3 linked regions of the Rhinolophus ferrumequinum genome follow. The protein of the gene in region 3 purifies or fractionates together with the protein of the main gene of each other region. This does not show direct contact. Links are inferred from orthologs where the notes say so. Each region holds a gene or a part of one and is shown on either strand. Other genes may lie near its edges. The genes, in order: CDYL, ZNF644 and EHMT2.

Region 1 (7,077 bases), on a different chromosome or scaffold from region 3:
CCAACTTTGGAAGGCTGATGCTTCACCCCATCTTATCTAGTTTCTGATCCTGTATTTTTTATTCACAAGGCATAATTACAATAACCATTTAAACATTTACTATGGACCTATTACCACATACCAGGCACCATTCTAAGTGTTGGAGATCTCATTTCTTTTTAGGTGAGAAAAACAAAGACTTAGCAATCAGGTAACTTGCTCAAGTTCACGTAGCTACTGCAGACCTCTGCTCTTTCCATATCACTTTACTTCAAAAAACAAAAATTTGAACTTCCTCTTTGGTCAATACATATAGCCAAATGTGAAACTTCTATTTCGATTTAGGCAGAACTAGACAAAACTGGGCAACTTATGTCCCAGGCCCTGGCTACTTAAGTCCCTTAGTGCTCTCTGCATCCTTGCCAAACAGCTTGTCAGCACGTAGTGTTCATTTACAACTGCGTATCATTTCTGACTCACAAATACTGTCTTGGTTAAAAAAAAAAATACAATTCTGTATCTTTAGAAAACAAACCAGGCTTCGGGGAGGCGTGTTAGATCACTTCAAATAAAAGATACCCATCACTTACTGTGAGTGTCCCCATAATGGGAATTGTGGGGTATGCTTTACATATTTTTTCATTTAAACTTCACAGCTCTATGACATAAGCATTGCTTTCAATTTTATAGATGAGGAAACTGAGCCTTCAAGGTTAATTTACTACCCAAGGTGACAGGGTTGGAATTCAGTGTTTTCTGATTCCAAAGCCAGGCTCTCAACCACTATGCAGAACTTTCAAATATCAACTTTCAATCATAATATAGTCATAGTGTTGCCTACAAGTAAAGGAGAATTTGAAAACTTATTCTGAAAGACACTGCCCACCATATTATTTACTATCACCTCAACTGCACTCCTATATTGTTTTTCAAAACTACAACAAAACCCAGAATCAAAAGTTCAATTGTGCAGGTGTATCGTTCCTTTGCAATGTACCTATTTTTTCCCCAGTAGATGCTCTTGGAGGCCATGAACCATTCTCATACCTCCCTATCTCTCCCTATGAAACCTCCATAGGACATGCATTCAATAAACATGCTGAATAAACAGAAACATTGTAGAAAACGTGACTTATAAATAAATTCTGCCAAGAAAGTAGTAAGTAGAAGATAACAGAATAAGCAAAGAAAGAACTAAATTTAGTTCATCATACACTAGTGGTAAATGTATTGTTTTCAGGATCATTTTTATACACATAAGATACAACTTATGTATAAGGTGCTACCCTCACCCAAACATTAATGGTTAACTGATTATGTATTTATGATCACAAAAAATGAAGAGTGAATACTCAAGTCTAAACTATCACAGTATAATCTAACGGAGAAACCAAAACCCCTCACATCCTCATGCTGTGGACTTTCCCAACCATGTGTCTTAGCCTGGAAGACCTTCTGCATCTTAGCCTCTACTCTGGGTCTTCCCCATACACTTTCCTTCCTAGAAGGGAGGTCTTGAGAACAAGGAGATTATTTTCCCCTTTACACGCCCAAATGATCCAAGACAGTACCTTGACTACTAGGGCACTGCTACTGTGTAAAATGGTTTAATAGAAGGGAACATTTTCAGTGCTAGCTAAGGTACGCTGACCACATACAATTCAAGGGAAGACAACCACCTTACCATTAATTCTACAGAAGGCAGCCTCCTCCTGAGAACTTTTGCAAACACTTGCTTTTAAAAAACAACAAAAAGCTGCTAGAAGGCTATCATTGTTGGCAACAGAGCTCCATTCTGTGCCAAAAGCAATAATACACCCACAAGAGAAGACACCTCAAAGGGATCACCTGGTATTTATTAAGGGTTCGTTCACAAGGACCAAGGGACTCTGCTTGTTATAGACGCTTACTTAAGTCCCTAAACCTGAGGTCCCTAAACGCATCATAAAGGTGAATCCAGAGTATCCAGAAGTTTTAAGTTTCTTAAGAAGATACACTTACAAACATCTATGAAACACAAGAATCACTAATTCAAAAGAACAGAAAGCCTTCCAAGTGTCTGTGCTCCCAAGAAGTCTACTTTGAAATACGTCAAAAAGTTACATCGAGGGATACAAAATATGTTTAAAGATCCAGACTGATAACTCAAGAACTTGAAGTTGAAGCTGGCAAAACCACTGCCCATAACTAAGAGTTCTGATTATGCCTTTTCTCACTTACAACGCTGCGGCGCAAATGAATGACGGTGTATCAGCGTTAAATTTAAATTTCCTGGCTCTAGCCACAATGCTAACCTAATTAAAGCATGTGGTCAACGTTTAGCATTTTCGGTGCGATATTTTGCATCGCTTTGGCCAACAGCAGAATCGAGAGACAGTTGCACTCTTCCTCTCACCAACCCCCTTCCCAAAGCCGGAGGCAAAACCCTCTCCAAAATGCTCTATTAATGGACAGGAAAAGCACCCCCGCAACGCCCACAGACCCCGCCAAGCGGTAACGGGGGCTTCACACCTATCACCCTCGCCAAGAACACTTTGGACTCAGTCTGAGCAAGTCACTCGTGCAAGCGCTACTTCCCCACGGCCGGGACCCCCCCACCCCCAGGAGCCCGACAACTCCGGGGAGCACCTCCGCCCGCGGGGCCCCCGGGGCAGCGTGGCTCGGGCTCCCCTCGCACACATTTCCCGTCCAGCAAACTGCGGCCGCGGAGGGGGAGGGGGCGAGGCTGGCGACGGCGGCTGAGCCGGGCCGTCGGGCCGGGCCGGGGCGGCGAGCGGGGGCGGCCCGAGGGTCTGGGAGGGGGAGGGGAGGTACCTCGTACAGCTCCTCGGAAGCCATGGTGGGCAGCGGAGTTGCGGACAGGCAGGAGGGGCAGGGTTGGGGCGAGGCGCCGTCGCCGCCGGGCGGCCGACACTTTGTTTCAGTTGGGTCCCTGCGTGGCCTGCGCTTCCTGCTCCCGCTCCCGGCGCCGGGAGCTCAGCACTGACGAGCCTCTCACACTCACTGCCAGTGCGGGCCGGCGGCCGCGGCGGGGTTGTGCGCAGGAGCAGCTGCGCAACGCGCCCTCCGCTCACTCCCCGGCGGACCGGCTCGGGCTCGGGCTCATCGCGCCCCGCCGCGGGGCCAGGCTGGGGCGGGCGCGGCGGCGGTGCACGGCGGCGCGGCTGGCTCCGTGGCTCCCCCTCTCCGGTGTAGTGCAAAAAGCTTCCTACTTGCGACCAAAAAACCTGCCCCGGCTACTGAGCATGCCCAGTGAGGCCGCCCGGGCCCGGCGGAGCCGCGCTCCTGCGTTCCGGGTTTTCGGGCCGCCCGCCCGGGAGAGGCCGGCGGGGCGGGGCAGCGGAGAGGAGCAGTGGGCTCCGCTCCCGGGGAAGGCAGGCGGGTGACCGCGGTGAGGGATCCGGCAGGAAGGGGAGTGGCCATGGAGCGGTGGGCGGGGTCATGGCGAGATGAGGGCGGGACCGAGAGGACGGTGGGCGGGGCTCTGACTTCCCCAAGTTCCCTCCGCCAGGTCCGAGCCGGCCCAGGCGCCGCCCGCCTGCCCGCCTCGACGTGGGTGCTGGGTGCCGGAGCCCAGTACCCAGTGGGGCAACGCATCTGCGGACCCGAAATTGAGCAGGGGACCGTGGGGGTGTGCCAGCCCGCGTCTGGAGTCCACTGCCCCGACGGCAGCGGCCGTGCGGACAAATGCATGGCTTTTCTCCTGGAGAGCGCAGAGCTCCCACCACCGAGCGTCCGCCGCAGTCACCGGTCCCGGGCCAGGCCAGCCCTCAGAGGGCTGGCGGCGTGGCCAGGTGGAACACCCCCGCCCTACCACGTGCCCGCCTCCCCGGCGGCAACCGCCAACACCCGGAGCCCGGACCACGTGCCCCGCGATGTGGCCCGGCGCGCTCCGGGCAAGCTCGGTCCGCGGCAGGCTGGGGGTGGGAGCCTGGGGCGGGAGCCCGGCGCAGGAGAGGGCGGCGCGAGGGCGCGGCTGCCTCCACTCTGCCCGCAGCTTCCCCCACGCCAGGCCTCCCTGTTCCTCTTGGAGCATCCACCTCCTCTGAAGGGGAACTAGGAGGAGGGGCCGAAATCTGGACTCCAGGGAGGTCTAGGTTCTACTGGAACGAAGCTGTCAGTGGTGGTCCTCCTAGGGGGGAACGGTGTGGACAACTACACCACGGGTCTCTCGGTCAGAACAGCGATGGGCTGGCCCGTGCTCCACTTCACAGGGGAAATGGGCAAAGTGGGGACGGCCAGCATGACTAGTGTCCAAGGCACACCTGCCGGGAGACTGGACGTTCCCCAAAGCGTGCGGAGTGAGGAAGGGGCTTCCTGGCCCGACTCTCCCAAACAGCCGACAACTCCAAACCTTCCTGCTGAATGCAGCGGAACTTCTCCACCGGGCACTGCAGAGACATTTTTCACATTCTCTCCAACTCCCTACACCTGGAAGCCACCATCAAAATCCTACATTCCTCCCCATGCATCCTCTCCTGCCACCGGTTCCTGGTGCTCTACCCAGCTCCAGTTCCTAACCGACCTCCCACCCACCAGGCTCCTCCCACCAGTTTTCTCCCTAAAACCCCATTCGAGTGTGCCCGGAATATACAGTTTAACAACCACAAGGCTTTTCACAGACCCCGCTGAGTTTCCTGCCCTCCCCACGCCCAAAAAAACGAGCACAACGCTTGCTGTTGATTCCCTTCAAGTCGAATCACCATTCTCTTCATACCGGTGCCTCCACCTGAAATTCCCTCTGCTTTGGAATGCCCCTTTCAATCTCCAGCTCCAACGTCACCTCAAAAGCATAGCCGCCTAACTTCCAGGGCAAAATAAGTTACTCCCTCTCCAGTGGCGCCTGAAGCACTCAGGAGTGCTCCATTGCAGCACTTAGGTATCTCAGTGTATTTTCACTGTTTTGTCCACTCTTCTCTCCCTCTTCTATTTCAAGACTATGACTTCCCAGATCTCATCTTCAAATTTGACTCTTCAGCCCCTGGCACCATTCTCTACATACAAAATAAGTTTTTGTTCAATAAAGTGGAATTCCAGTGTCCAAAATAAAGCCGGATACGCACACATCCAAATCCCATTATTAAATGCTTTAATAGCAGAATCACATTAAAGTTCCCATCTCCTTTGTCAAGGCTCTCCCAAGTTCTACCTTTTTTTCCCTGAGGGCCAAGCAAATTCTCTTTCCCTCCTCCAAATATCAGCGCCTCTCTCCTCTCACTTAGCAATTTCATTATTTGCTGCATTTGATTATTGTCTCTCTAGGCACACAAATTCATCAACGTAAGTTGTAAGCTCCTTGAAGGCAAGGACTAAGACTTTAACTGCGAAGTCTCAAGTCAATTAGTGCAAACGACTCAGCAAAAGTGCTCAAATACTTGCAGGAGATGCTTAAAAATCACAAGCATAATCAAATATATATAAGAAAAAAGGAATCCTCAATATGAAATGAACAGATATCTCACATACAAACCTATATACAATGATAGTAGACTGATATAAACAATTTTTTTCTCATTGCCATCGTAAGCACAGAATTTGCTACACATTCACAAGTTGCTCCACCGTATGCTTAGTGGCTGTGATATTAAATATATTGTTCTTGAAGTCTCCAATACTACCACTGTTACCAAGGGAAGGGAGAAAGAAACAAGGATAGAAAGATATCCACAACAACCATACTTATTAAGCTCATACATTTGAGGGTATATGCAATCATAGGTTAAGATGACTTTCCCCATTGTGAGAAAAAAGAGAGGAGGACAAATTACAGCCTAAAAAGATTAACTCCAAAAAGTCAATTTACATGGATGGACCTTTAATCCTGATGACCAGGCTTATTTATGATGCTATGATTATTCGTCAACGTTAAAAGAGTATCCACTGGGTAGAGATCACCGCCATAACAAAGCAGGAGTAAGCCATTCTCCTAAGCTCAGTTCCAGCTACCTCTCTCCTCCAACAATTAGTTGGTTTCCATCTTAATTAAGAACACGGCAGAGGAGACTGGTACTAAGGTAGCCAACTAGTGACTGAGATATTAAGCAAGTCTTCAACTGTCCATTTTGTTCCTCTCATCTGCCCTCCACCTAAAACACCTACCAGTTTATTGAATGCTATTTTGTTTATGTTTATATTTTACCTCATTAGTTCAATTTGTCTTACTTTTAAGCAAATTCTGCTTTCTTCCCTCACTTTTTTATATAAACAACATTTTACCAGTGTTCATAATAGAAGTAAATATGTCCAAGATTCTTTAATGGCTGTGAATTTCTACCTTTAATGAAAGAGTGAAAATTTGCAGTAGTTACCATGACCACATGTGTGGGTGCTGTGAAAGTACTTTCTCAGTAAATTTGAGAATAAAAGTGAAATCACATTTTCTAAACACATCAAGATATCTGCATTGTACCAAAAATACATGCAACACAATAGTATATACTAGTAAAATACATAAATCATAATGATTGTAGAAGCAGTCAACATCGAGAGGACATACACATGCGATTGAAATACTACACATCTATGGGCAATAAGTTTCAACTCTTACCTTCTGTGAGCCAGTGGTGGAGACCAACATAAACCAGTTTACTCCTTTTCCAAATTTATCTGAACAATTGGTAATAGACACTCAGTACGAATCAAGGTAAGACTCCAAATCAGGAGCGAAAGCTGTTTCTCACTCGCAGAACAAAGACTAATATATTAAATTAGAGGTTCACCCCTTTTCCCATTCAACAGCCCAACTGGTCACATCTTCCATTCTCCCAAGAATTTGCATTCCATCTACATTTGAATTCCAAGGCCCTGGTGAGGAGATGGGGGATGGGACTGGAAAGACAAAAGAATCCAAAATTTAGCAACTACTACCCTCAGAACCAAAGGCATTTTGAGTTGGGATGACTGGAAAAGCTGCCAATAATGATTCCCTTCCTCAATGTTGCACCCCAAAAGCATAATCTATTTGGGCTACCTCCTCCAAAACCCAAAATTTAACTGTGGTTTTTATGAAGAAGTGACCTATGTTTGTTTGTTCACACTGTGGCCAAAGATAAATTAAAATATCATTCTTGTTATAGAGTACCCACTCCACAAGACTTG
Region 2 (7,497 bases), on a different chromosome or scaffold from region 3:
TACTACTTGTTGAAAGAATTTCCTAATAGATTTTACAGAACTACTACTCAGTAGCAGTAGTCTTACGTTGTTTCTAACTAGAACCAGTATTAAAAGGCATGTTAACTTACCCAACTAAAATACAGTTACAAAATGAAAGGCACTAGCACCATTGTTTTCAGCATCTCATTTCTTATGTAATAACTGGTAATAATGGCAGTTATTTCAAACTTTCCAAGAAGTTTATCAAGCTACCTTTTTTTTTTTCTTTTTTTTAAATCAAGATTGGGTTTTGAGGGGCGGCCGGTTAGCTCAGTTGGTTAGAGCACGGTGCTCTTAACAACAAGGTTGCCACAGGTTCGATCCCCGCATGGGCCACTGTGAGCTGCGCCCTCCACAACTAGATTGAAACTACTACTTGACTTGGAGCTGATGGGTCCTGGAAAAACACACTTAAAATAAATAAAAGTTTTAATAAAAAGATTGCTTTTTGAAAACCCCCAAATTCAAAAGCAACATTGCTCTGAAATGTGTTATTTTTTATCTGAATTTGTTTCACTGGAAGTATTTTAAAAACTAAGTTATCATATCATGTTAAATGTCTTTTAACTTGTCAGTTCTAATAAACAGCACCTAATTAACAAGTATTCTCAAACACACTTCCTTGTTTTACTTTTTAACCATTATTAGTTACAGAGTCACCTTCTCATGCCAGCAACATAACCAATGAAAACAGCAATGGGGTAGAAGTTGAGAATTTTCCATTATGCCACTAACTTAATCATCTCTGACCTTCAATATAGCATAAGAGAGTAAGACTAGTTGTTCGAGATTCCTTCCACTCTAAAACTGTGTAATTCAGTAATACATTTTGCTAATGCTAATATTGCCTATTTGTTAATACAAGAAGACTGTTCTCTGTTAGGAGAAAAGCTAAAAGCAGGGAAATCTGGAGGGAAAATAAAAGGAAAAGGAAAATTTTAAATAAAGTTGAAAAGTTCAACTTGAAATTTGAACAGAGATCTAAAGTTAGTGATCGAAACGTGTTTAAGTATTCTTTCAGTCACTTGAATAATTTTGTTAATGTGACATGGTCAAAACATGAGTTGTTTCCAAATTTTGTACTTCAAAAATTAGTTAATACCAATATACAAAGTATAATGCAGCCATTAAGCGCAGTATAACTTTGTTAGAAATTCTAACATTTACACTGCCATAATTTTAACAGCAATAGATATATACCATGGCATTAATATTAGTCAAAACTTCATGTTACACCTATTAAAATGTCTAAATTATAACTTTTTCATAAAAACTATTTTTTTCTTTCCAAACCTACCAATGCAATATTGCTGCCATCAAGTTCCCTGGATACTTACACATGACACTGAAGGCAAACAGCCGGTTTCCTCGCTTTGAGCAACTTGAGTTGTCTATTTTTGAAATGCTTTACTTCTTGCAGGACCAAAAAATATAACCAAACTACTGCAGAGAGGCAATGTACTAGTAAAGCAAATTTAATCTATCATCCGGATGCAACAAGCCTGGCATTAGTCAGGACTGGCCAGAATAGATGATGGTGTTTTGGTATTTCTGTTGAAATTATTTAATTTGTATACAAAACAGGACCATCATTCAGGCCCCCAGTTGAATTTATCCCTTGTTGAGTACTTCTCAATGACCACACAAAATTTGAAGTCTAAACATAAAAGTTCTATAACAACTAAATTTACGTCAGTATTACTTAAAACAGTTCAAGAAAAGTTTTCCACTAATGTTGCTAAACCATGGATGGATCCCAACACGAGAGTCGTCTGCGGAAGTCTCGTAACAAGAAACCTTTAGCTCCACCACCTAAGTTTCCAATCACTGAGAAGGGTCTGGGACAACTCATCTTCAGGTTCACGGGAGAAGTGGAGCACACCTGCTTTCCTCTGGCAGAGATTAAGCTCCCAGGGACACAAAGGCCAGGGAATCAGACCTGGAGAAGCAAAAAGCTTTAGCTGGACACCCACCAAGCCCCTGGCAACCCAAACACTTTGAGCGATTTACCTCTTGCTGCTACTTCCCGGACACCTAGCGGCATAAGATCTTGCAGAACAGGGGGAGGGGAGGGCTATGCGGTCCTGGTCCCATGTTAGGGGAGGGATGTGTACAGTTAACGCTAGAGCTGGCGCTTCTGGCCAAGCCGGGGCAGCCACGAAGAGAGGGCTTGGTGACTGCTCTCGGACCGCCCCGTTACTCAGTGCATTGCAATGGCGACCGCCAGGCTCCCCAAGCCGCCAGATCTGGGCCCCTTCCCCCTACTGCTCACTGGCTGCTCGTCTTCATGTGACTAAACAAAACCCCCAAGTCTAGTGCCCAGCTCAGCCCCTTTGTGTCCGCTACCGGGTCCTCCGACGCCGCCGTGGAAAGGTCCTCCCCCTACCGCCTCCGCCGAGTCCCGCCCAGCGGCGGCGGCCGCCGCTCACCTCAGGTTCCGCCGCCCCCCGCGGCCGCCGCGGCCGCCACCTCCCCGAACCCGGGGCCCGGGCTCCTTGTATAGCACCAACTCCGCCTCCTCGGCCGCCGCCGCCATCTTAGCCTGTGCGGCAAAATGCGTCCTTTTGGATGGTTGGGACCCAGCCTAGGGCGTAGCTCCCCGGGCCCAAGCGCCGAAGGCCGGGTCCCCCAACTTCTTCCGCCACCCTCAGTCCCGCCGCCGCCACAGCCCAGAGTCCCGAAACCCACTCGGGTCCCGGCGAATCCGACCAAATAACCCCTGAAACTCACAGTTTGGTGCCGTGTGCGTCAAACCGGGGCGACGTTGGGAGCGCGCGGCGTCCCCGCGTCACACGCTGCACTGTACGCTACTCGGCTCCAACGGCCCCCCTCCGCTCCCCGCTTTTCGCCTCCGGCCCCGGTTCCCACGGCGCAGGCGCGCTGCTTTCCCGCCTCTACCGAGCTGCGGGCCGCGGGGGTGGCCAGTGAAGAGCTCTTGGGCAGCTTCGCGCTGGTGGAGCTCCTGGGCCAATTAGACAAACCGGGGAGCAGAAACAGTGCACCTCTGTTGTCGGGTGCCAGAAACCAAACAAGGTCACCTCCCCCAGCGCTGACCTAATCACTCTCAAGGAGGTTCCCGCCCCAAAGTAGGCACGCTCCAAATATGGTGGTGCCCAAACTCTGCAAGACCCAAACACTTAGGCAAGCCTAGGCTCTTTAAGGTGGAACAGGCCCATATTTGATTTCCACAATCACTAGCGTGCCAGGATTCCTTTTCTTTTCCTACTGTTGAGGAAAACAGCTAAAGAACTCAAGTTGCCAGTTACGACTGCAGAGTAATGGCAGAGGAAGGTTTTTGGATTTGAAGGGGAACAATTATTGGGAGATGCTTGATGGCCAGGCAAAGCATCAAATGTGGCATCTCAATTAGCGGAACAGCCTACCCTCAAAGGTGCCCTGGGTTTGGTCCAATTTGAGTCTGATGATACTTTCTCTCTGCATTACTGAATGTGCATGAGTCTCCAAATTAAAGCGATATAAGAAGCACCTGAGCGAGCATGGGTTAACCTTCAAAGAATCAGTAGGCCCCAAGAGAGTTCTGGAAATCTTTCTTTTAACAAGCATCCACTATGGGAGTCTGAGGGCAGAGTTTCACACTTTGAGAAACACAAATTAGAGGCTATTTCTGTCTTTGCTTTTGAACTGAACAAACAAGAAGTTGCTAACATGTTTCATATGAACCAAGTTCAGAGCAATCTTCTAGTCCTGCCTTAATAAATTCTTTGGCTTTTCTGAATCTCTGTTTTCTCATTAAAAAAAGGAAAAAAGTTTTCATTAGTTTAGCAGCTATCATAATCTGTGCTCCTCCAAACCTTCAAGATGTTATTGGCATTCAGAAGAATACACTGTAATTACACTTATTTGAGAACAGTAGGAAACATTCTTTTTCCTATAAGATAGTGACTTCAGCAGCAGCAGCAGCAAACATAGGTTCCAAACAACAGATACATATACTTGCTGCATTCGTTTATAATAATAGCTAACACTTCTGAGCGCTTACTATGTGCCAAACATTGTTTAACTCATTCCAACCTAATAAGGGAAAGAGAGGTTAGGTAATTTTTTCAAAGTCACACATCTCTTTGGACTCTTTCAAAATGCAATTTTTCTTTCTTCACTTACACAAATCGATAAACAATAAAATATTAAAAAAAAATTTTTTCAGCCAATGGTGGGGTGTCCTTTGGGTCATTTCATCTACAGAATCCATTAAAATTGGACATTCTCAGTTTAATACTGACTTACAATAAACAATAAAAGTACTATGTACTATGGATATACTCACAATATTGTATCACTACAGAAACAGTTACCAACAACAAAAAAAACTCAGTTGTGGATGTACACTACTGACTGACTGATGTGCAGACAGAGCATACCACAAGAAAGTAGAACTACTTACAACTCAATCATGATCAGACACTTATCTCACTAATGAAGCTGTTTATACTAGAATTCAACAATTAAATGGCAATACTAAAGAAATAGTAATAGTAGTAACTGTAATAGTCAAAGTAGTAATAGTTGATGAAATTTTATAAACAAAATATATGTCAAAAAACTTTCTATAAGTGGGAGAAAACTAGATAAGGGCAGAAAGCTTGGATAAGGTAATGTGTAAAGAAATTGTAAAAAGCAGGCAAACTGGAAAAATCCAAGAACCAGTTATGTGGCTCAATGCCAAAATATTTAAAAACATTAAAAGGAAATTGTAGTTGAGAACGAAAATCAAGATGTAAAAAACAGTTTGGCCCCGAGAGAAAATTCACAAAGCACATCTACTCACTATAATAAAATAGTGCTCTGATGAATTCACCTGATGAAGAATCGAGAGAGAGAGAAAGAGAGAGAGAGAGAGAGAGAGAGAGAGAGAGAGAGAGAGAGAGAGAGGCTGAGAGAGCGAAAGAAAGAAAGACCTGGCTATTGTTAATATGTTAAAATCTGACAATATTAGACAATATATGAATCCATTAGTTATTCCAGTGAATGGAATTACCCAATAAAATATTCAAATAAGCTGTGGTCTCAAATGACTTAATCAAAAAGGAAATGCAATTGTTTTTGTTGGATAAAAGCAGGTAATTCTCAACATTCCAATACTTCTGAATTCCAGGCAAAAAGAAAAAATGAAACACTTGATTAATCTACCATCCTAGTAATAAAGTCAAGTCAAAATTTGGATTTGTCTTAGGACCTCACAAGAGATGGTTCTGGACCCATCTCTGAGTACCAAAAGTGCAAGGCAGTCTCATCTGTAAAACTGCAAATATTATAATATGTTCATTAATTAGGGTGGAGTAGGAGGATGTTTGACATAGAGAGAGATGAAGAAGTAAATACATCAAACCTTATTTTTGTCTCACGGTAACCTCAGCACAGAGCCTTACACATAATGGGCATACAATAAATAATTCAATTCAACCAATATTCACCAATTGCTTACTCTATGCAAGGTACTGTACTAGGCACTGTCAGCAAAAAGAGAAATAAGACAGTTCCTTGTACATATTCAATACGTAGTTGTTAAATAAATGAGGAGCTTTGTATAGTCCAATAAAAGAACTAGACAAAAAGGTATCATCAACTCTCAATTTACCAGGGTATGGGAAAGATGAGGAAACAGAAAATAAAGATTTCAAAATCATCGTTAAACAAAACCTTGTAAAACAGGGTACAAAATAGGTTTAGTATAACTATATTTAGTAAAAATTATATCTAATATTTAAGAACACATTTATTACTCTAACTCTCAGTTATCCGAAGTAGACCATGAGAGTATATGAGCTTTTTCACAGAGCACATATAGAGAAAGTAAACAGTGGGCCACAGAAACGTAGATAAAAAATATTTAAGGAATTAGTAGAGAAAAAGTCCAAGAAAATAAGAAATGAAGGGACAGAGGAATAAGAAGAGATTCAAGCAAGAGTGTAACAAGCAAGAGCCAGGGAGCTATTGGTAACAGCTTACTGCTGCAACAAATAACCCCAATCTCCATGGGTTACCATAGTAAAGTTTTTTTCTTATTCACATCACACTCTACTGAAGTCAGTGGGAAGCGGGTGGTGGAGGCCTGGGAGCAGTTATTCAAGCACCTAAGGTCCTACCGTTATATACTTGTATATGCCTTTGCCATCCCCTTAGAATCTTCTACTGGATCCTCTGCAAAGAGAGAGAGAACACACGTGGAGAATCATGAGTGTGACAAGGTGAAGTGGCCAAGCCCGGAAGTGGCACAGGTCACTTCTCACTTTCCACTAGTCAGCACTCTAGTCAGCACTCTAGACAGAGGTTGGGGAATGTAGTTAGGCTCTATGTCCTGCAGGAAAGGAAATGGGACTGGTGGGCACAAAACAGGGTTTCTGCACATCCTGTGTAAATGTAGCAGAGAGGTTATGAGAGATAAGTGGTGTCCATTGGCTATACAAGATCACTGGGGACCATGGTGTGAACAAGATCAGTGGAGTGGCTCAGCCCACTGCAGTGGATTTGGGAAGAAAGGGGAAATAGTAACTGAGTCTGATCAACTTTGGAAACCTAGCAACTGGACTCACAAGGCTGAGAGACAAATGGAGGCTTTAGTTAAATGCCACTGCTCCAGGATTCTTGGTAATTAATCAGCCAGCCTTCTCCTGTTAAGATAAAAACTCTCACTAGCCTTCTTCAAACTCCACACACATTAAACTTAAGAAATGCCTTCATTGTTTATTTTTTCCAAAGTGAAAGATTCCAGATGTTCCGGAATATTTGGTTGAGATCCATCCAAGGAAAAAGGGCATCTGTAATTTCAGCGATCCATGTGCTTTACTAAAGAAAATGAACGTAAAATAGTAAGCCAAAATATTACACTATATGTGTTGATTTCCTTTGTTATCAATATTGAGAGATAAAATTGTACAAATGTGTTTAATTACATGATAATAATTAGCAATTGGACTTTGATATCTAACTTAATTGTAAATGAAATTAAATGTCTTCAAATTGAAACTTAAAATCTCTATCATGTATTATTTACTTAAATTTTCTAAATATATTGTAAGATGGAAAAGAATGGTGGTTGCAACCTTCAAAAATAGATTTAGATAACAATTAGTCTGAAATAGAAATACAGGTCTAAAAATTAACTTGGTGATGTCATCTTTATTTTTCTGATCCATTTCTCTTTTTATTCCAGAACATTGAAGTGTCTCTTACAAACTGTCAGATCCCTTCCTGATTGCCATACTTCACCCTCAACATAGAATGGCTGTGGTCTCCAGGAGGCTGATAAATTTAATCCTTTTTTACCCAGAGACGAAAGATGCACTGAAGATACAGACCCATCATCTCTTCTAATATTCTTGCAGTGCCTACAATGTTTCAGGCATTGTACTGGGCTCTTGGACAATGTAAAAATAAATAGAACACATTCAGCTCTCACATATCTTATAGTAAAAGAGATCAAAAGTCATATACTCAAAGTGCTATTTGCAAGACAAC
Region 3 (7,536 bases):
GGGGGGGTGGCGTGCACCATGCGTGCAGGCAGCGGGGGGAGGACGTGAAAGGCGCGTGCAAACGTGCAAAGGGGGGGCGGAGGAAAGAGGCAGCGAGTAAAGGGGGCGGGGTGACAAGAGCCTGCATCCTGGGCACCCCAGAGCCTAGAGTCCAAGGCCTCTGCTACCCCTTCCTCTGTGATTCCGAGGGCACGAGGATTCTCCCCATCCTCGCGGTGCGGTTGGGCTGGGGGTATGGACGCCGCTGCCCCGCCCCCGGGAACCACGCCTCCCTCCCTTCGGAGGGACAGCGCCTCCCCCCGGGGCAGGGGAAACTGAGGAAGAGGCCTGAAGACTGGGAGATGTGATGCTGGGGGACCGGGCAAGAATGGGGGCGAGGGGCCTGGAGCCTTGGCTTAGGAGAGCCAGAGACCTTTGTCTCTGACCGGTTTCCTTCCCAACCAGGGTTGCCCACTCCCCCGCCACAATGGCCTCTGGGGTGGAAGTCCTGCGCTTCCAGCTGCCTGGCCACGAGGCCGCTACGCTGCGGAACATGAACCAGCTCCGCGCAGAGGAGCGGTTCTGCGACGTGACCATTGTGGCCGACAGCCTCAAGTTCCGCGGCCACAAGGTCATCCTGGCTGCCTGCTCCCCTTTCCTGCGGGACCAGTTCCTGCTGAACCCCAGCTCTGAGCTGCAGGTCTCATTGATGCACAGTGCACGCATCGTGGCCGACCTCCTGCTCTCCTGTTACACGGGTGCCCTGGAATTCGCAGTCAGGGATATCGTTAACTACCTGACGGCTGCCTCCTACCTGCAGATGGAGCACGTGGTAGAGAAATGCCGGAACGCCCTCAGCCAGTTCATTGAGCCCAAAATAGGTCTCAAAGAGGATGGGGTCAGCGATGCCAGCCTTGTGAGCAGTGTCAGTGCTACCAAATCCCTCCTTCCTCCTGCCAGGACCCCTAAGCCAGCCCCCAAACCTCCCCCCCCACCCCCTCTACCTCCTCCGCTGCTGCGGCCTGTGAAGCTGGAGTTCCCACTGGATGAGGACCTGGAGCTGAAGGCGGAGGAAGAGGATGAGGATGAGGACGAGGATGTGTCTGACATCTGCATCGTCAAGGTGGAGTCGGCCCTGGAGGTGGCACACCGGCTCAAACCTCCCGGAGGCCTAGGAGGAGGTCTGGGCATCAGTGGCTCAGTGGGCAGCCACCTGGGGGAGCTGGCCCAGAGCAGCGTGCCCCCCAGCACTGTGGCCCCACCACAGGGTGTGGTGAAAGCCTGCTACAGCCTGTCTGAGGACGCAGAAGGGGAGGGCCTGCTGTTGATCCCCGGAGGCCGGGCCAGCGTGGGGGCCACTTCGGGCCTAGTAGAGGCAGCAGCGGTGGCCATGGCTGCCCGGGGGGCGGGGGGCAGCCTGGGGGCAGGGGGCAGCCGGGGCCCTCTGCCAGGGGGCTTCTCCAGTACAAACCCCCTAAAAAACATCAAGTGCACCAAGTGCCCGGAAGTGTTCCAGGGCGTGGAGAAGCTGGTCTTCCACATGCGGGCACAACACTTCATCTTCATGTGCCCGCGCTGCGGCAAGCAGTTCAACCACAGCAGCAACCTCAACCGCCACATGAACGTGCACCGCGGCGTCAAGTCACACTCTTGTGGCATCTGCGGCAAGTGCTTCACGCAGAAGTCCACACTGCACGACCACCTCAACCTTCACTCAGGAGCGAGGCCCTATCGCTGCTCCTACTGTGACGTGCGCTTCGCCCACAAGCCTGCCATTAGGCGGCACCTCAAGGAGCAGCACGGCAAGACCACGGCCGAGAACGTGCTGGAGGCCAGCGTGGCTGAGATCAACGTTCTCATCCGCTAGCCGGGCAGGCGCTGGGTTCCTGGGTTGGGTGGGAAGGTGGCTCCCTGGCCCAGGAGAATAGGGGGTGTGTGTCGGGGACAAACAGGTACGGTGGGGAGCCTGAGCAGACATACACATCCTGAGGGAAGCGCCCAAATTCCTTGGAGAGAAGATCCTGCATCTTCAGAAGAAAAGGATGGAGAGGCAGAGAGTTCTTGGAGAAGGCCAAGGGAATATGGGGTCCCAGAGAAAGATTGTCTTCTCTTAGAGGTGCATGGAAATGTGGAGGGAGGGAAAGGGTCCTACAGAATGAGGAGGAAAAAAGACTGGAAAATGTTTTATTACTGGCTAAGCCTTCCCAGGGAGAGGTCTGACATTTCTTGAGGTAGGGGTGGGTGGGAGGGAATCGGGAGGGAATTTGGCAGGAGGCAGCTCACAAGCTTCTGCTTAGAATAGATCCTTGGGAAAGGGACTGGTAGGGGGAAGGATTATTGAATCCCAGGAAAGTAAGTGGGGACAGGTCTTGCATGCTGGGAGAATGGGACTGTGGGTACAAGGCTCACTAAAATTCTAGGGAGAACAAGTAAGGTGGCAGGTAAGAGAACATGGGTGAGCATCCTAGGTAGATATTGGGAAGTGGGGTACAATAGCAAGAACAAGAAATAGTAGGGGGTGGGGGGTAGGGCACGTAGATGAAAGGACACAAGAAGGGCTCTTTGGGGGGAGGGAGAGGAGTAGAGACATACAGTATTTTTTAAAGAAACAAAACGTATTTTTTAGGATTTTTTCTGGAGTTTGGGCTTTTAGTTTTTCTGCTTTTGTTTTCCACAAAATAAAAAAAGAACAATTTTTTTTTCTTTATATACTCTGGCAACTGCTTGTAAATGACTGACCCACCCTAGACAGCCTCTCATTTGCTCAATACCCAGAAGTCAAAACTCATGCAGGTCCCATGCCTAAAGGAGCCTTGACAGCAGAAGAGCAGTGTGACAAGTGGGCTCCTCTGACAGGTACCCTCCCAGTTCTGCAACTTCCACACCTGGCAGACAGCTCACAGCACAAGTGTTCTGTGATTTCTTTGGCAGTGGTGGTAACACATGACCTGCTCCTCTGAGGAGTTTGGTATCAGGTCCAGGGATATGCTACAGGTGTGATCATTGTGCCCACTGAAAGTGTAAGCAGGAGCCTATGTTTGGGCATTTTTGGTCTGGGGAAAGGGCTCACGCCCTCGGGAAAGCTAAAAACCACTTTGGATTAGGGTATGGGGAAGACTACAATTCCCAGAAAGCTCTGGAAAAGTTAACCAAAGACAACTACAGTTCCCAGAAGGCCTTGAATTGGCCTCAGGTGCCCTATATCCGAACCACCTGCCTGTGTCAAATACTGCTGGTGAAATCAAACAGATGTTTTCCTAACTTTGACCAGAAGTAGTACTTAAAGGGACGGTACCCTAAATAGAGTTATCAAGGTTGTACACCAAGGCCTAGTATCATTCATACTTCCAGTGTGGGCTGGGCTATGTATGACCCACGGAGTGCCTGACTATGCTTGTGAAGTGTTTGGCAAAAAAGGTTATTTTACTAGAGTGTCACTAGACAGTAATGACCCTTGGGCCACTGGAGGCTTACCTGGATCCCTAGTGCATGTGGTGGCATAACATGTCTGTTACAAACAGAAGAGACAGCCCCAGGTTTCAAAGGGGGACATGAAGCAGCATGCTAGAACCAGCCAAGAGTAAAAGTGTTCTCTGCGCGTCCCCATCATCCCCTTCTTGCTCGTTAGAGAAGCGAGGCCAAAACTGAGGCCGAGCTTTCTGCCTGGTGACCCAGAAACTAGAGAGCAACACGAAGCAGAAGCACACGCGGACCAGATTGGAAATACAGCCGCTGCCGAGAGCCGGAAGGCTCAGACGCTCCGCTTGTTACCTAAAACAGTGGGGGATGGAGACCCACACCCGGACCCAGGCGTGCTTCACCTTCGGTTCCCCGATGAGCTGAAGCTAGGAATGGCAGGATTCGCCCCCACAGCGCCCAGCTTAGGGGAGCCACTGCCATCTCCAAGGCCGCTCTCGGGGGAAAATGGCCAGAGGCCTGTGCAGTGGCTCCTTTAAGGCTCCTCCTAGCCCTCCCTCCCCACCCACGTGACCCGGGGCGGCCGCGCGCCGGCTCGGCCCCCAGCGCAAGCGGCGATGGCGGCGGCGGCGGGAGCTGCAGTGGCGGCGGCCGCCGAGGTGCGGAAGGGGAGGGGGAGAGGCGGGTGCATGCCCGCGCGCGCGCCCGGGGGAAGCGCGCACCCGTGCAATGCTCCGGGGGTGCAACGGGGCCGGGGGGCCCGGGCGGGACTTACAGCAATCCGGAGGGCCAGCACCGGGGGCGAATGAGGGGACCAGGGGGTGGGAGGTGGGGGGAGTGGGCACGGAGGCGCGCGTGCAGCCGCCGGCTGTCCCGGAGTGGGCGGCGGGCGCCGGGGCCCCAGGAGCACGCGCGAGGGGCACAAGGGGCCGTCCACCGGGCTGGGGGGCAGCGGGCGCTGGAGGGGTTGGTGCCCGGGGTCCCCGCGGCCTGGGGGACAAAGGGGGAGCGGCGCGTGCAGCCGGGAGGAGGGGGCGGGGCCGGGGCGCTGAGGCCCCGCCCCCTCCCCCTCCTCTCTTCTCGGTCCCTGAGATGAGGGGTCTACCGAGAGGGAGGGGGCTGATGCGGGCCCGGGGGAGGGGTCGTGCGGCCCCTCCCGGCAGCCGAGGCCGCGGAAGGGGGGGATCCCATAGAGGAAGAGGTAGGCCCCGGAGCCTACTCTCTCTCCCCAGGGCCCAGGCGTCCTGGGCCCCCCAACTTCCTACTGGTCTGACCAGTCCTCCTATACCTTGTGTCGCCTCCCAGGGAGAGGCCCCCGCTGAAATGGGGGCGCTGGTGCTGGACAAGGAGCCCAGAGGAGCCACCGAGAGAGGTGAGTACAGCAGAAACGGGCCCATCTGGACCTTCACCTCTCCAAATACAAGATCCCCTGAGCCCTTAGCCCTGAACTTTTTCTCTTCCCTTACAGTTCATGGCTCTTTGGGGGACACCCCTTGTAGTGAGGAGACCCTGCCCAAGGCCAACCCCGACTCCCTGGAGGCTGCAGGCCCCTCATCCCCAGCCTCTGTCACCGTCACTGTTGGCGATGAGGGGGCTGACACCCCTGTAGGAGCCACACCGCCCATTGGGGATGAACCTGAGAATCTTGAGGGAGATGGGGACCTCCAAGGGGGACGCATCCTGCTGGGTGAGAGGCTTCGGAGTCTGGGGGTGAGGTGGGGTATCCTCTGACTCTGCCTTCCTTCTTATCTTGCCTCTCTCTGCCTGCCTGCCTGTCTGTTTTCCAGGCCATGCCACAAAGTCATTCCCGGCTTCCCCCAGCAGGGGGAATGCCTGTCCCAGCCGTGCCAAGATGTCAATGACAGGGGCCGGAAAATCACCCCCATCAGTCCAGAGTTTGGCGATGAGGCTGCTGAGTATGCCTGGAGCCCAGGGGGCAGCAGCAGCAGGGCCTGAACCCCCTCCAGCTACAACCAGTCCGGAGGGGCAGCCCAAGGTCCACCGAGCCAGGAAAACCATGTCCAAACCTGGAAATGGACAGGTGAGGATTGTGAGAGGGTTGTGGGGATGGGAGGGCCAGGTAAGCAACCTTCAACGTCTTGTAGGCTTTTTTTACAATTTAGCTTTGGGCCTTCTCTGTTCACAGTTTTACATATTTATCAAGGGGCTACTTTGTTTAAATTCTGGGTTGGGGCTTAATCTGAACTAACAGGTTCCTGTCTTCCTGGAGTTTATAATTCCTGGGAAGAGCGTAATAGAAGAGACAAAAGTAAAGACTTACATAGTTCAATGTTTTAAGTACTCTTAAGATAATGACTATGTAAAGAAACTTCAAATCACTCTTTCTTTCTACCTCAAAGCAAGCCCCCAGAGGATTTTTTCCTGTTTTTGAAACTGCCCCTGCTTCATTTTTAAAGGTTGTACCTCCTACTGGGAAGGAGATATGGCCCACAAATGACAGAGGTCCCAGAATCTCACAAGCTTTATGACTGTGTTTTGGGGGCTCTTGGTAGCATTTTGTTCTGGGTGTGGTTTGGGTAGCTTTGGTCAAGGCCTTAACCTTTGTTTTCTCATCTGTAATATGGGAAGAAAGGGCCTGCTGCATGCTTGAAGAGAGAAATGAGGGTTAGGTATGGGATGTGCTTGACACACTTCTCAGGAGACAGCAGTTGTTATAGCCACATTCTGGTTAGTGCAGGTACAGATGGCATTTTTGAGGGTGTGGCTACCATCCCACCCACATCTGGGGCTCCAGGCTAATCTTGGCCACCGACCCTACTCCTTCCCTGACCCTAAGTGTGCTCCCTCTCGGTCCCCAGCCCCCAGTCCCTGAGAAGCGGCCACCTGAAGTGCAGCATTTCCGTATGAGTGATGACATGCACTCGCTGAGGAAGGTGACCTCAGGTCAGTCCCACCTCCCACCCTCCTGGAGCTTGATGTGGCCAGTCCTGAGGATTTAGGGTACAAGCCTCACTGCTTTCTCTCCTTCCAGATGTGGCCAAAAGGAGGAAGCTGAACCCGGGAAGTGGCCTGGTGAGCCTCGAGAGGCAGGGAACAAGGCCTCTCCACCTGGGGGCCTGCTCCAAGGGAAATGGGTTGGTTGGTGGGGGAGTGCTAGGAGCTTCCATTGTTCTGATCTTTTTCTAGTCGGAGGAGTTGGGTTCTGCTCGGGGTTCAGGAGAAATAACCTTGGACAAGAGGGACCCTGGGTCCCTGGAGGAGTGGGAGACGGTGGTGGCGGATGACTTCAGCCTCTACTATGACGCCTATTCTGTGGATGAGCGTGTGGACTCTGACAGCAAGGTGAGAGGGGCCAGCCATGTCCGGGTGCACTCTCAGTCACCCCCTGTGTCAGTCACCCCTCAGTGGCCCCCTGTGTCACTCTTCTCTTTTTATCTTCTGAACACCCCCTGATTCACTGCCCCACACTACGTTAACTTATTGCCATATATGCTGCGCCCCATTCCATCCCTGTGCCCTTCTCCATAGTGGCCACCATCCTGGACTTGAGGTTTAGCATCCCATTTTATGGTTTATTTGTTGTTTGCTCGTTTATCCCTTTGCTCTTGGTTTATCTCATACATGTTTGCCTATGCACTATAATGCTGCGTCTTGCCTGTTTTGCTTTTTATTTTGTGTTTTATCATGAAAACTTTCAAATACAGATGATCTTGAACAACACTTTGAGCTGCGCTGGTCCTCTTATATGTGGATTTTTTTCAATAAACACTGTAAATGTATGTTTCTCATGAATTCTTACATTTTTTTCTCTAGCTTTATTGTAAGAATATAGTATATAATATATAAAACATACAAAATGTATTAATCAACTGTTTACGTTATTGGTAAGGCTTCCGGTCAACAGTAGGCTACTAGTTAAGTTTTTGGGGAGTCAAAAGTTATACATGGATTTTTGGCTGTGTGGGGGTTGACACTCCTAACCCCCGTGTTGTTCAATAGCCAACTGTATAAACAAAAGAATAGAAGAATGAGCCCCATGTAGCCATCACCCAGCTCCAACAATTTTCAATACTCAGCTGGCTTTTTAAATAATTTTTTTTAATTTTCAATTACAGTTGATATATAATATTTTAGGTGCACAAAGTAGTGATTAGACATTTCTATAAATTATCAAACGAT

The links.
Region 1: the proteins of EHMT2 (region 3) and CDYL purify together in Homo sapiens (affinity purification with mass spectrometry; 4 studies listed by BioGRID and IntAct, with this or other methods). This does not show direct contact. The link is inferred for Rhinolophus ferrumequinum from reciprocal best matches to the Homo sapiens genes EHMT2 and CDYL.
Region 2: the proteins of EHMT2 (region 3) and ZNF644 purify together in Homo sapiens (affinity purification with mass spectrometry; 3 studies listed by BioGRID and IntAct, with this or other methods). This does not show direct contact. The link is inferred for Rhinolophus ferrumequinum from reciprocal best matches to the Homo sapiens genes EHMT2 and ZNF644.

Annotation. Positions count from the first base shown.
Region 1 is NC_046292.1:89,086,089-89,093,165, forward strand, and holds the start of CDYL (chromodomain Y-like protein), read right to left. Parts: upstream 3,073-7,077; 5' UTR 2,818-3,072; coding exon 2,794-2,817; intron 1-2,793.
Region 2 is NC_046292.1:68,788,698-68,796,194, forward strand, and holds the start of ZNF644 (zinc finger protein 644), read right to left. Parts: upstream 3,037-7,497; 5' UTR 2,752-3,036; intron 2,677-2,751; exon of another isoform or gene 2,451-2,676; intron 2,294-2,450; exon of another isoform or gene 2,032-2,293; intron 1,961-2,031; exon of another isoform or gene 1,359-1,960; intron 1-1,358.
Region 3 is NC_046286.1:2,354,020-2,361,555, reverse strand, and holds the start of EHMT2 (histone-lysine N-methyltransferase EHMT2), read left to right. Parts: upstream 1-4,460; 5' UTR 4,461-4,488; coding exon 4,489-4,768; intron 4,769-4,864; coding exon 4,865-5,083; intron 5,084-5,183; coding exon 5,184-5,437; intron 5,438-6,215; coding exon 6,216-6,300; intron 6,301-6,388; coding exon 6,389-6,429; intron 6,430-6,543; coding exon 6,544-6,699; intron 6,700-7,536. Other genes in the region: ZBTB12 (zinc finger and BTB domain-containing protein 12), read left to right, coding at 467-1,846. UniProt on the Homo sapiens protein: Histone methyltransferase that specifically mono- and dimethylates 'Lys-9' of histone H3 (H3K9me1 and H3K9me2, respectively) in euchromatin.